Arabidopsis thaliana: one gene and its partner. The protein of the gene in region 2 interacts with the protein of the main gene of each other region in a biochemical or structural test. Each region holds a gene or a part of one and is shown on either strand. Other genes may lie near its edges.

Region 1 (6,216 bases), on a different chromosome or scaffold from region 2:
CTCTGCCTTTACATGCACTAATGTCTTTTGTTTCACAGATAACTCGGAGAGGGCTTTCTACAAGGAGCTAGTTAAAGTCATTGAATTGTCTGATGTCATTTTGGAGGTTCTTGATGCCCGTGATCCTCTTGGCACTCGTTGTACTGACATGGAGAGGATGGTGATGCAAGCCGGTCCCAATAAGCATCTTGTGTTGCTGCTGAACAAGATTGGTAAGTTCATATATTCAGTCTTTACTCGTGGACGTAATAAGTTGTTTGTTTACTCTGGGTGGTGTAATTAATTTTTGTAACTGATTCACTCTCTCCAGATCTTGTTCCCCGAGAGGCTGCTGAGAAATGGCTTATGTACCTTAGGGAAGAATTTCCAGCTGTTGCCTTCAAGTGTAGCACCCAGGAACAGAGATCAAACTTGGGTTGGAAATCATCTAAGGCATCAAAACCAAGCAATATGTTGCAGACGAGTGATTGTCTTGGAGCAGACACTCTTATCAAATTGTTGAAGAACTACTCAAGAAGTCATGAGGTTGGTTCCATAGTTTAAACTTTAATCATCCTACCTTAGCATCAAGTTATATCATTCAGTTTCAATTAAATCTTCCTTTGTTGTTCTTTGGCAGTTAAAAAAATCTATCACAGTTGGTATTATTGGACTGCCTAATGTCGGCAAGAGTAGTCTTATTAACAGTCTGAAGAGAGCGCATGTTGTCAATGTTGGTGCCACTCCTGGACTGACTAGATCTCTGCAAGAGGTTCACTTGGACAAAAACGTGAAGTTGCTGGATTGTCCTGGAGTTGTGATGTTGAAATCATCAGGAAATGATGCTTCCATAGCTCTCCGAAATTGTAAAAGAATCGAGAAGTTGGATGACCCAGTTAGTCCAGGTAATTGGATATAAGCTCAAGATAGAATCACACTTATTTTTGTGCTTTGTCTTTTAAAGGTTATAATCTGAGTGACCTAACTTGGAAATCTTCTGCTTTGTGAAAAAAATAGTGAAGGAAATTCTCAAGCTTTGTCCTAAAGATATGCTGGTGACTCTCTACAAAATCCCGAGCTTCGAGGCAGTTGATGATTTCCTTTACAAAGTCGCCACTGTAAGGGGTAAACTTAAAAAGGGTGGTCTTGTGGATATTGATGCTGCTGCCAGAATTGTTTTGCATGACTGGAATGAAGGTGCGGATCTTTTTTTGTTCCTCGTAAACTTGAAGCGTAAAAGCATTTTTGAAAACCAGTTTCTTAACTCATCATTGTCTCTAATATGAATGGTTATGCAGGTAAAATCCCATACTATACAATGCCGCCAAAGAGGGACCAGGGTGGACATGCAGAGTCAAAGATTGTGACTGAGCTGGCCAAGGATTTCAACATCGATGAGGTTTACAGTGGTGAATCCTCTTTCATTGGGAGCTTGAAGACGGTTAACGAATTCAACCCTGTTATTATTCCTTCAAATGGTCCTCTCAATTTCGATGAAACTATGATCGAGGTTGGTAACTTCTCTCGTGATTCCATTTGCTTGTAAATGACTCGGTCTGGATTTAATCTTTGTTTATGATGATGTATCACAAAAAAAAAAAACAGGATGAGTCTAAGACGCAGACGGAAGAGGAGGCTGAGCATGAGAGTGATGATGATGAGTCAATGGGAGGGGAGGAGGAGGAAGAGGCAGGAAAGACGAAGGAGAAATCAGAGACGGGGAGGCAGAACGTGAAGCTATACGCAGCGGAAAGCATGTTGAATACAAAGAAACAGAAAGCAGAGAAGAAGAAGAGGAAGAAAGCAAAGAAAGCAGGAGCTGATGAGGAGGATCTGATGGACGGAGATTATGATTTCAAAGTGGATTATAGGAAGAACAAAGATGGAGAAGACGAAGAATTCCAGATTGATGCTAAAATCCCAATGGCTGGACTTTTGCCTGAAGAATGAGTGATTGGAAACCACAACGTTTTTTTTTTTTTTTTTTTTTGTATTTGGCGTTTATGAGTCGGTCGGTTAAACTTTCTGATATATGTGCTTCATGAACTAGTAGTAATACTGAAGCGATTTTGATTTCTTTAATTAACGTTTCTTCTATTCCAATTCTGCTTTGCTTAACAAATATCTTAAGAACATTCAAAAATCATTGAGGTAAGTGTACTTCTTCGCCCTTCAGAAGAAAGTAATAATCTTTTACCCTTTCAGTTTCAGGTAACGAATGACGAAAACAACACCCGAGTTCAGTACATCAGATTTCTCTGTCTCTCTCTTGGAACTTCCAAACTCGACCATATCCGTCAAATTGAATTCCAAGTTGCAAATGTGAAAGCAGTTTAAACCCGTGTTGACTTTAACGCAAGTAAAGGACGTTGACTTTGTTGAGGTCCTTAAGGATAATTGATCAAAATGTTATGTGGCAGGCATGTAAGGTGTGAACCGAAAGCTTGGCTTTGCTCAAATTCAGCAAGTTCACCAAGAGAAACTAAATCAGTGAAGGAAAAAAGGTTCAAGCGAGACTCTGAGGAAGATGGCTTCGGCTACTGTTGATTTTGGGATCGGACGGATTCTTAGTGTCCTGGAAAACGAGACCTTGTTATTGTCAGGAGTCCATGGTGAGATTGATAAAATGAAGAAGGAGTTGCTGATCATGAAGTCCTTTCTTGAGGATACTCATAAACATGGTGGAAATGGATCCACAACAACAACAACTCAACTCTTCCAAACTTTTGTGGCAAACACGAGAGATTTGGCTTACCAAATCGAAGACATTCTCGACGAGTTTGGCTATCACATCCACGGTTATCGTAGCTGCGCCAAAATTTGGCGTGCGTTTCATTTCCCGAGGTATATGTGGGCGAGGCACTCGATAGCTCAAAAGCTAGGAATGGTTAATGTCATGATTCAATCCATTTCTGATTCCATGAAAAGGTACTATCATTCAGAAAACTACCAAGCAGCATTATTACCGCCTATTGATGATGGCGATGCAAAGTGGGTGAACAACATCAGTGAGTCATCTCTTTTCTTTAGTGAAAATAGTCTTGTAGGGATTGATGCACCCAAGGGAAAGCTCATCGGACGGCTTCTAAGTCCCGAACCTCAGCGGATTGTTGTCGCGGTGGTTGGGATGGGCGGTTCAGGGAAAACTACACTCTCAGCGAATATCTTCAAGTCTCAAAGTGTGCGGAGGCATTTTGAGTCTTACGCTTGGGTTACAATCTCGAAATCTTATGTGATTGAAGATGTGTTTAGGACCATGATCAAGGAGTTTTACAAAGAAGCAGATACACAGATTCCAGCTGAATTATACTCCTTAGGCTACAGAGAGTTGGTGGAAAAACTTGTGGAGTATTTGCAGTCGAAGAGGTACATTGTTGTGCTTGATGATGTATGGACCACTGGTCTATGGAGGGAGATAAGTATTGCTTTACCAGATGGTATTTATGGAAGTCGTGTTATGATGACTACTCGGGACATGAACGTGGCTTCTTTCCCATATGGAATTGGGAGCACAAAGCACGAGATTGAGCTCTTAAAAGAAGACGAAGCTTGGGTGCTTTTCTCCAACAAAGCTTTTCCGGCAAGTCTTGAGCAATGCAGAACGCAGAATTTGGAGCCGATAGCACGAAAATTAGTCGAGAGATGTCAGGGTTTGCCATTAGCTATTGCTTCTTTGGGAAGCATGATGTCAACCAAGAAGTTTGAATCAGAATGGAAGAAAGTCTACAGTACTTTAAACTGGGAACTGAACAACAATCATGAACTCAAGATTGTTCGAAGCATTATGTTCCTTAGCTTCAATGATTTGCCATACCCGCTTAAACGTTGTTTCTTATATTGTTCTCTTTTCCCTGTGAACTATCGGATGAAAAGAAAGAGGCTCATTAGGATGTGGATGGCACAAAGGTTTGTGGAACCGATCAGAGGAGTGAAAGCAGAAGAAGTGGCTGATAGTTACCTCAATGAACTTGTTTACAGAAATATGCTTCAAGTTATCTTGTGGAATCCTTTTGGACGACCCAAGGCGTTCAAGATGCATGACGTGATATGGGAGATTGCTCTATCTGTATCCAAACTTGAGAGGTTCTGTGATGTATATAATGATGACAGTGATGGTGATGATGCTGCAGAAACAATGGAGAATTACGGTAGTCGCCATTTATGCATTCAGAAAGAGATGACACCTGATAGTATACGTGCAACAAACCTTCACTCTCTTTTGGTTTGCTCTTCTGCTAAACACAAGATGGAATTACTTCCAAGTCTGAACCTTCTGAGAGCCTTAGACCTTGAAGACTCTTCCATCAGCAAGTTACCAGATTGTTTAGTAACTATGTTCAACTTAAAGTACTTGAATTTGTCCAAGACACAGGTGAAAGAACTGCCAAAAAACTTCCATAAACTCGTCAATTTGGAGACGTTGAACACAAAGCACTCCAAGATTGAGGAACTTCCTCTAGGGATGTGGAAATTGAAGAAGTTGCGATATCTCATTACTTTTCGCCGCAATGAAGGACATGATTCCAATTGGAATTATGTTTTAGGTACAAGGGTTGTTCCTAAAATCTGGCAGTTGAAGGATTTGCAAGTCATGGACTGCTTCAACGCAGAAGATGAGCTTATCAAAAATCTCGGGTGTATGACTCAGCTCACAAGAATAAGTCTTGTCATGGTTAGGAGAGAACATGGAAGAGACTTGTGCGATTCACTGAATAAGATTAAAAGAATTCGATTCTTATCTTTAACGTCGATTGATGAAGAGGAACCGTTAGAGATAGATGACCTGATCGCAACTGCAAGCATTGAGAAGCTCTTTCTTGCTGGGAAACTGGAGAGAGTACCAAGTTGGTTCAACACTCTTCAAAACCTTACCTATTTGGGTTTGCGTGGATCTCAGCTACAGGAAAACGCCATTCTCTCTATCCAAACGCTTCCTAGATTGGTATGGCTTTCATTTTACAATGCATACATGGGACCTAGGTTGCGTTTTGCACAAGGATTTCAGAATCTGAAGATTCTAGAGATAGTTCAGATGAAACATCTGACAGAAGTTGTTATAGAAGACGGTGCAATGTTTGAGCTTCAGAAGCTTTATGTCAGGGCTTGTAGAGGGTTAGAGTACGTACCAAGAGGAATTGAGAATCTTATAAATCTTCAAGAACTGCATTTGATTCATGTTTCTAATCAGTTAGTAGAACGCATTCGCGGAGAAGGGAGTGTGGACCGGTCAAGGGTTAAACACATTCCTGCGATTAAGCATTATTTCAGAACTGATAATGGCTCTTTCTATGTGAGCCTCTCATCTTAGGCGGCCAAGGCAAGCTTCATCATACAAGATACTGCACACTGTACTGTGAAAATCAGGGATGGATATTCACATAACTACTAAACGCCATGAGCTTACCAAACAGATTGATTGTCATGTGTTGTCTTTGAAAGTCAACAATCAGGTCTTCTCTTCACTCAAAGACAACATTTTTTTGCTGGTCTCATGAGTCAGTGCTAATGACTAAACAGCTCACTTCACAGCAGTTTCCACTGTTTTTTTTCGAAATTCATTTAAGTAAGATTTAATATGGTCAGCTGATTGTTCTGTAATTCTGTGTAAACATTACTTTGTTAAGACCTTAATATTGTTGACATTGTTATTTGAGTATCGGCTTCAACCAAGAAATTCCACTACCGTGTTAGTCTTCTAAATGAAAGTGGCTCATTCACAATCCCAAAAGTTAGGACCTTTACACTAATCGAAATAACCAGATACAGTTGGACTAAATACTTAATACTACTCCAAAACATTCCATTTTAAATTTCTCCTTAACTGATGGAAAAGTTTTGAAATTTTGAAAAGAAGAAAGTAAAAAAAATCTTGTTATCAACGATCCGCGGCGGTTAAAACGGAGATTATTATTGATGGATGGATATCTGGTCATTCGTGTTATCCACGTGCAACTAACGCACGTAAAAGACATACTAACCTCCCCGAAAATCGGATCCGGATCCGAAAATATCTGACCCGTTTTGAAGCGGTTTGACGAAAGACCGTTTTGGGCCTAGTCAATAGTAAAAATTAAAAACTCAAGGCTCTTTGGTGTCCCTTGGTATTACTATCGGCCTTTCCCGATGCTCTTTCTTCTTCATCTTGAAACTCGCGATTCCTTCTTCTCCTTCTAGGGTTTATTACTAAGGGTTTCTCTATCCTTAAATCTCATCTCTGTCCTTTCTTCTTCTCCAGAG
Region 2 (7,592 bases):
TAATGTGGACATTGTCGAGGTGACGAGAATCAGAATGATGCAAGAAGAGAAACAAGAGAAGGATCATTGAAGCAACATGGATTGAGCTCATTGGTCACAACAGAAGCAGTCATACAAGGCTCAACGACTAAGAGGATTATGAACCGTTAAAAGACTTAATAGGTAGTAGGAGACTATATAATAAGAGCAAGTTCACGCATAAGTATTTGAATGTAAGAATTAAATCACAGAATAAACAAGTTTTTTATTTAATCAATCCAGATGAATGTGCTGGAAAAGCTCATGGGAAAAGCCAAACATGAGTCAAAAAGAGAGAAAGAAACAACAAAAGGAAAAGGACATATAAACCTCGGTGAAAAACGAGTGATTTACTACTTCTTGTCTCTTACACATCTCATTTGAGACCAATCCCCAAAACTTACCGACTACCACGGTAAATATTCTATTAAGATAATGCAAGCTAGTTTCGGATTGCATTATTATATGAAAAACTTAAAGCACTTTTTGAAGGCAATTGTTTTAATTACCTTAATGGTTTTGTCTGCCTCGAGGATGGTTTGGAGGTTGACGATGACTGTTAACACTACTTTTTGAGCTTTGACACAATCTCCGAGACATCTTGTCTTCAAAAAGTCCTATTGAATTGCTCAATTCCTGCGTGTTTCTAAAACAAATAACACATGTTAGTTCAAAGTAAAAGAGCTTCAAGAACCAAGAACCCAACATCTGGACCAAGAATGTTCCCTCAGAATGTCTTTCCTCTGTTCCAAGAAGCCATGAAACCTGCAAATTCAAGCTAAAGAAACCGGTATAGAGTAGACAGCAGGACCCAGCTTTAAGGAAACGGTTCAGCAATTGAGAAGATCTATTGGATCAATAACAATACATTCTGCTTTTTGTTTTATTGTAAAATTACACGTTCTTATACAAATGGAGGTAGCATCAGTCCTCAGACGTGCATTCCCATAGACTGGTTACCAGCTCCAGAGAATAAAGCCTCCAACATCAGACTGAACAATGCAACTAAATGAGCTTTATTTATCCCACAAGAGCAATGAACAAAATCTACTCTAGAGCCTCTTACTCTTGCAAAGTCTGTTGCAAGAATGCCTCCTATTTACAGCAGACAACGCTTCTAAATGTGTGGTGGTGAGTCAAACTTAAAAGACAAGGATGTTTCCTGATGCGTCTATCTTATCGAATGGAACTGCTAATTACTTTTAGGCAAACCAATTTTCACATCTGGAGAAGATTGTTCACTGTAACAGAAACAGAATTTGTTCTTTGCAGGTCCTGAAAGAAGATTGAATCAATCATCACTTCAATACCCAGCGTGTGCAAACAAATGACAACAAATGGCCATTAAACTCAGAAAAATTGAGCCCATTAATTTCTTAATGAAAATTTTGCTTCACAAATTCATATATACAAATGTTTTCCTTTCATTTGATGCAGGAAACTAACTAAATATCCTAGCAATTCAACCCAGCAAGTAGCTTGCTTGTCAAAGCAGACACATACCAATAAATGCATCTAATATTTACCTGAAAAATTATTTCATCAGGCACATGTGGGAGGACTTCCCTTACTGTCTCGGCCATTGCTAGTATACTCGCCATGTTATTTGCTGCACGGGAGACAGTTCTTAGATGCAGACCACCTGTTCTTCCTCCAGCACCAGGAGGAACATATGTAGATGAAGTCGATGCTTGCGAAGGATTCATTGGCCAGAGACCCCAAGAAGCATCGTCAAGTGTAGTCTGAGCAGAACCTTCCCCTACAGATGCAAGATGCCTCATCATCAATTGAACCTGCCCCAGCCCAACGGATCTGGAGCCTGCAGAGGAACCCACAACATCAACACCCTGATCTGACCATGTTTGCAGCCAGCTTGGATCCACCTCTGAATTCCTATATGGCATGAGAAAAAGGTGAGAACTGCTAATCCCGTTTAAGAAAGCCAGTCTTTAAAAAGAAAATCAATGGGGGCACAAGCTTGGTCCTCACAAAACCAACAATTACTTGCTACCCAAAAGAACCAAGTATAATTAGACAAAATTAGAGAATGCATAGTATTTTAGCTCAGGGATAGGAAACCACAGGAAGTTGATGATCTTGTTATGAACACACTGTTACTTTAATGCACTTAAGAAGAAAACATATGGAACAATGAACCCAACCTCCAAGGATCACTTTCGGTGAAATTTGGCGTCTCAGTTGGAAACATTCCAGTGGTTAGTGCATGCACAGAATTGTTTTGTCTCTCAAATTGACGGGCTAAGTGTTCATCGCTTGAGACTTCTCCTCTGCTAGGATTCGCCTCACTTTCAGTTCTACCAACAAAAAGAGGCTTACGGCAAGTAGGACAAGAGTAAACCTCATTTAAACCTTGATCCAACCTGCCAGAGTCAAAATATCATTATGATTTACAGTTCTCACAGAACCGCAATAGCACAAGGCTGCCAACATAACAGAGCTAGCATACCATGATCGTAGGCAGCCAAGATGAAAAAGGTGGTTGCAGTGAAGTCTTTTAGCCTTAGCCATTGGTTCCTATCATTCATAATGGTTCCAAGATTAGTGAGCTACTAAAAAAAGTAAGGAGACCAATAACTATCAAGCAGAAACTTACCCGACATATAGCACATTCGTCATCATAATCCCGTAGCTCTTCTGAAGTTGCATCAAGAAGAGCTGCATGAAGAGCACCTAAAGCTACTCTCAGTTTGATGTATCCTTTTATTCGTTTCAAAATTGAACTTAGCAAGGCCTGTCAAAATCAAACGGGAACACACAAAGAACTTAACAATTAGGTATGTGCCTATTAAGAAACCAGTAGAGTGGCACTTTTACAAAGAAAGTCAATTAACAGACTTACACGTATGTTGAGAAACAAAACTGCATCCACCAGATGGAAGGCCATTCCATGGAGCCACCAGATGTGCAAATAATGACCGAGGGCCATTACCAAGGTAGCCATGTCTAGGAAGAAACCAAGATTTCGGTTGAGGAGGCCTTTCCATTCCAATAACGAGCCTATTCAATGGGTAAGAGGTCAAGTTAGTAATGTGAACACCAAACAGGACAAAAAATTTCAAATAATGCACGCCTGCAGTCTAACAGAAAACATAATTACAATCATATGCCGAGAAAAAGACAAAACCTGCTGTCATGGAATCATAAAACTTTGATCTCTGGCAATCTGAATTCTTGACTGCTAAGTGGTTGATCCACATATCAAGCAGTTGAAACCCGTGAATCAACAACGCCTGAAAAAAATGATCCATTATGCGATTGATCAACCCTCTATATTTCTAGGTACGGTTACAAAGAAGGGTAACATAAACAATGAATACAACTATCTTACTCAAGTACCTGCAAGGTCTCAAAAGCTATACCGCATGGCTCAAAAAGTAACAGTAAATAGACAGACGAACCAACTGTATTGTATATCATAAGGGAAAGCTTTATCCTGCAAGATTCGACAAAATTAACATCCAGAGACGAACAAGTTCATTCTTCAATCACTAGAACAGAATATGATAATCCAGAGGGTCTGGTGTATGAATTAAAAACTCCCTATTTTCTCCTCATTGAACTGCAGTATAATAAATACGGGAACTCTAGAACACAATATTTTCTCCGCTCACTACAGCATATGCACCCTCAGAACATACTAAAGCCTCTGTTTTATCTTAGCAGAAAATTACACTGCTTTCACTAGAACTATATGCATCATGAAAGTCATGTGCACCATTCAGAGACTTAGGGTTAATTTGTTTTGTCTCCTCTGATATACAACTATACTTTATTTTATTTTAAGAATATATATCTGGTTCCAGAGACAGAAACTAGGAGGAAAACTTTACACTCATATTTTGAAATAGAAGAAGGAAAATAGTGCACTCATATTAAAAAAAAAAAAGGGGTTGAAAAAGCCGCAACTCAAAATTTCACATGATACCAAAGAGTTAAGGAAATACCAGCACAAATCAGTAGAGAGAACCATGAACAGTGCTGAATACACACGAAAGTATGTCCAAGGAGTCGAAGAAGGAGATGCATTCAATCGATCAAGCCGATCTCTAGCCAAAGCTTGAAACATCTACACAACATTTTACTACACATTAGGGTGTCTAGAAAAAAAAATCAGCACTTCCTGATCATAAATCAAGAAAGCCAATTATGCAACCTGTATACCATACCTTTAGAGTACACAGAACAGTCAACCAGATTGTCCATAGGACCCCCTGAAATACTGTTCGTGGAACCACGAATGGCAGAAAAGTGCCCTAAAAACAGGAGTAACCAAGAAGGTTATTAACATGAAAATGGCACACATCTGCAAATAACTTAATTTTATGCAAACAGATCAGATATCCAATCGAATAATGTGGTAGAAATATATGCTCATGTACCATTAATGCTTGTCATTTTAAGTAGGATTTCGTCTTCATCCTTTTTTGCAATATATTCAGTAAAGGAGATAATAGAATATCCCAGATATCATAAAACTATATAAGTGACAGAAATTGTGGGTTGGTTTCCGTTGCACCCTACTGTCTTTCATCAAAGTACAAAAAACTACCTTGTAAATGATGTAATTGGCAAGCCTTTCCACCAGTTTTCTAGTTTCAATGGCATATAGATCTCCAAAAAACAGAGTCTGCAGGGAATATTAAGAGTTATCAGATCCTCACACAATGATTGAAAGACATTTCCCAAAACAGCTAGTCTATTATTACCCTACAAGTATGTGCAGACCCTTAAGGCAACAAATAGCATGGTATTTGGTTTCACGGAAGCCTTATAACTATCGAAAACCAAGAGTTTTTAAATCCTTCAGGTCAGAAATACTTGGTTCTTACACCACAACTCTTAACCCGCAGGTGCAAACTTATAATTCATGTATTTTCTAATAGCCAAACTACGAGCTTTACATTGAATTCCATCTAAAGGAAAGAACCATTCAAAAGATGTATATCTATTCTACGTAAGAATAAAGCTAGCCGACGAATATTGCTTAAACTTAACCTCGGAAGTAAAAGACCACTCTTACCTTGAGAGAAAGAACAAGAAGAATGTAGATATTGAGAACAAAACTTGCCAGCAATGCAATTGTAGTGTGAGAACTCAGAAGAAGCTCAAGGGTATTCTCAGAATTCCCTAAAGAAATGTTCTTGGTGATTATCCCATCAGCTCTAAGTCTATCAAGAGACAACTCCGTCCAGACTTGTAAACCCACAAAGCTCAAAGCTGTTGTTGCCACGGAAATGTGCAAATATGTTATCCCCATTAGAAACTATTATAGCCTTCTCACTCCGAATTAACCCACAGATTCTCATTTAGCATGACGTCCCCTGCATCAACATGATTTTGCATAAGCTAAGCAAACCAAAAGCTTATGTAAGTTAGAGAATTGAGTTAAAAAGTTTCAATTTTTTTATAACGTAGGCCAATCGAAGCAAGTAAAATTCAAAACCATGATCACGAAGTTCATAGGATACTGCAATTGAGAGAGATATGTATTAAATAAGTAAAATTGAAGAAACTGGGAAATTCAATTAACCAAAGGAGAGAGATGAGCTGAAAGATTGAGGTCAATAGAAGAAAATATGAAGATAATGGTGGATTCTGCAGAGAGCGAAATGGATCAAAACCTGAGTTCGCGATTGGAAAATTCTCCTCAGCACCGGCAATTGCGTCCTCTTTTTGTCTCTCTTTCTCGATGGACAAGGAAAAATGAAGAATATAAAATGCGGAAGAAAAAAACTCAAAATAATAAACCATGCGGTAAATAAAAAGTTACTTAAATTTGACGATGCCGACACGAACGAGTTCTATGGTCACCGAAGTGGTTCCAAAGAAGTAAAGCTATAAAGAGCGCGCTTTGCCAAACAGAGGTGAAAAAAAAACGGTAGCAAAATTCTCTAATAGTCTTGTCCCACAACCTTCTTCTGGTTGCTGAGACCTATATCAACATTTCCAGCACATTCAAAATCAGTTACTTGGTATCAATTTGATGTATCATCCCCTTATAAAACCGAGTTTGAACATCGAGAATGAGCATCGAATGTATCGTTGATCATGGCTCTGTCCAGCATGTTTGATAACACCACCATAGTCCATAGGTATAATGATAGAAAATCGTCCTAGCAGACTCTTTTTCTCCATAAATAATATCCAAATAACTTCAACTATATCATAGTTGCTACGATATTCATATCCAGAATCCGATATCAAGAATTTGGGAAACAAAATCCGAACCTATGATATGAAAGTAGTCAAACGTACATAGATCATTGATGTAACGAAAAAAGTCAAAATCCCGAACACATAGGACCGTGGGAAATGTCATTCTCCTTGATTCACCAAAGGACACCTTAAAGTTCACAAATTCACTCACTTACTTCCATTCCATCTCAAACAATCCAAAATAAAACACTCTAGTCAACGTTTATGTGACGAATATTGTTACGCTCATCCTCTTTAATCTTTGGAATCACCACTTTCAACACACCATTCTTCATTTCCGCCTTAATCTCATCAGTCTTGTATACTTTCTCCGGTAACTCAATCCTACTCGTAAACCTCCGTCCATCTCCAGAAACATCTTCTCCCTCCTCTGTTTCCCCTTCTCCTCTAATCACCAATGTGTTCTGTTCCAAAGCCAATTTCACATCCTCTCTGCTTAGTCCCGGCATATCTATCCTTAGATGCAACGCGTCGTCTTTCTCTTTCACGTTCCAACCACGTCTAACTCCAGAAGCTCCCATTCCACGAGTAGCTGATACCAAAGGGATTTCGCTTACCTGGTCCATGAAATTCAGCATCTGGCTCAAGCTTCTCGTTGGAGTAAACGGATCGAGTATATCTGTTTGAAAAAACAACCAAATTTTCAGATTCAACAGATCTCCAAAACAAAGTTAGATGTACTCTATACATAAATCACTAAACATGTATCAAATTGGGAAAATCTATAGCGAAATTGGACGGAGGAACCATGGATTTACGTGAGAAGAAATCGCCGCCGTGGCGAGAAACATGTCGGTTTGAGTGATGGTTCCTATCGACACCGTCTTCATAGTTTCTGGCGGCGTTGGTATTGAAGAGGCGAGATGAAGCAGCCACCGGACGAACGGCTCTTAAGGCGCGAGGGACGGCGACGGTGGAAGAAGAGAGAAGTCTCCTGAGAGCTAAAGCCGATGATGACGCCATTTTTGGAAAGAGAAGAAGCTTAGAATTAGCAAGTGATTAATTATTTTCAAGCTCGATGAGATATTTTTTATACTCTTTGAACGAAAAAAAAGCTGTTAGAGAAAGGTTTATATAGAACAGAGAGTAGAAGAAGCTGCTAGAGGCTAGAGAGTCGCTTAAGGATGGTTCTAGAACTGCGTGGTCTCCAAGTAAAATAAAGAAAAATAAAGAAAAAGAAAGAAGAAAACTTTTTCCGTGACGGCCCATCACTTTGGGGCCCAGATTTGTAAATTTATCTTCCGTTTACTTTGGTTTGGTTTTAAAGTCGAATTTGAAAGTCGGTTTAGATCGATTTGGTTTAGTTTCTTCTTCAGTGTATCTGCGAAATCAGAGGA

The links. The genes of interacting proteins can lie anywhere in the genome.
Region 1: the proteins of RIN3 (region 2) and RPM1 form a complex in vitro, tested with the Arabidopsis thaliana proteins (one study listed by BioGRID).

The regions. Positions count from the first base shown.
Region 1 is NC_003074.8:2,225,315-2,231,530, reverse strand, and holds RPM1 (NB-ARC domain-containing disease resistance protein), read left to right. Parts: upstream 1-1,975; 5' UTR 1,976-2,506; coding exon 2,507-5,287; 3' UTR 5,288-5,676; downstream 5,677-6,216. Other genes in the region: NSN1 (GTP-binding family protein), read left to right, coding at 39-212, 311-525, 620-884, 997-1,176, 1,278-1,489, 1,585-1,929.
Region 2 is NC_003076.8:20,890,868-20,898,459, reverse strand, and holds RIN3 (RPM1 interacting protein 3), read right to left. Parts: upstream 5,818-7,592; 5' UTR 5,661-5,817; intron 5,361-5,660; 5' UTR 5,297-5,360; coding exon 5,060-5,296; intron 4,667-5,059; coding exon 4,589-4,666; intron 4,293-4,588; coding exon 4,206-4,292; intron 4,106-4,205; coding exon 3,984-4,105; intron 3,473-3,983; coding exon 3,376-3,472; intron 3,270-3,375; coding exon 3,164-3,269; intron 3,037-3,163; coding exon 2,879-3,036; intron 2,771-2,878; coding exon 2,633-2,770; intron 2,554-2,632; coding exon 2,486-2,553; intron 2,400-2,485; coding exon 2,181-2,399; intron 1,966-2,180; coding exon 1,545-1,965; intron 1,294-1,544; coding exon 1,237-1,293; 3' UTR 501-1,236; downstream 1-500. Other genes in the region: RGF5 (root meristem growth factor), read right to left, coding at 1-91; AT5G51440 (HSP20-like chaperones superfamily protein), read right to left, coding at 6,447-6,874, 7,014-7,218. UniProt on the Arabidopsis thaliana protein: E3 ubiquitin protein ligase that acts as a positive regulator of RPM1- and RPS2-dependent hypersensitive response (HR), in association with RIN2. Probably not required for RPM1 degradation during HR.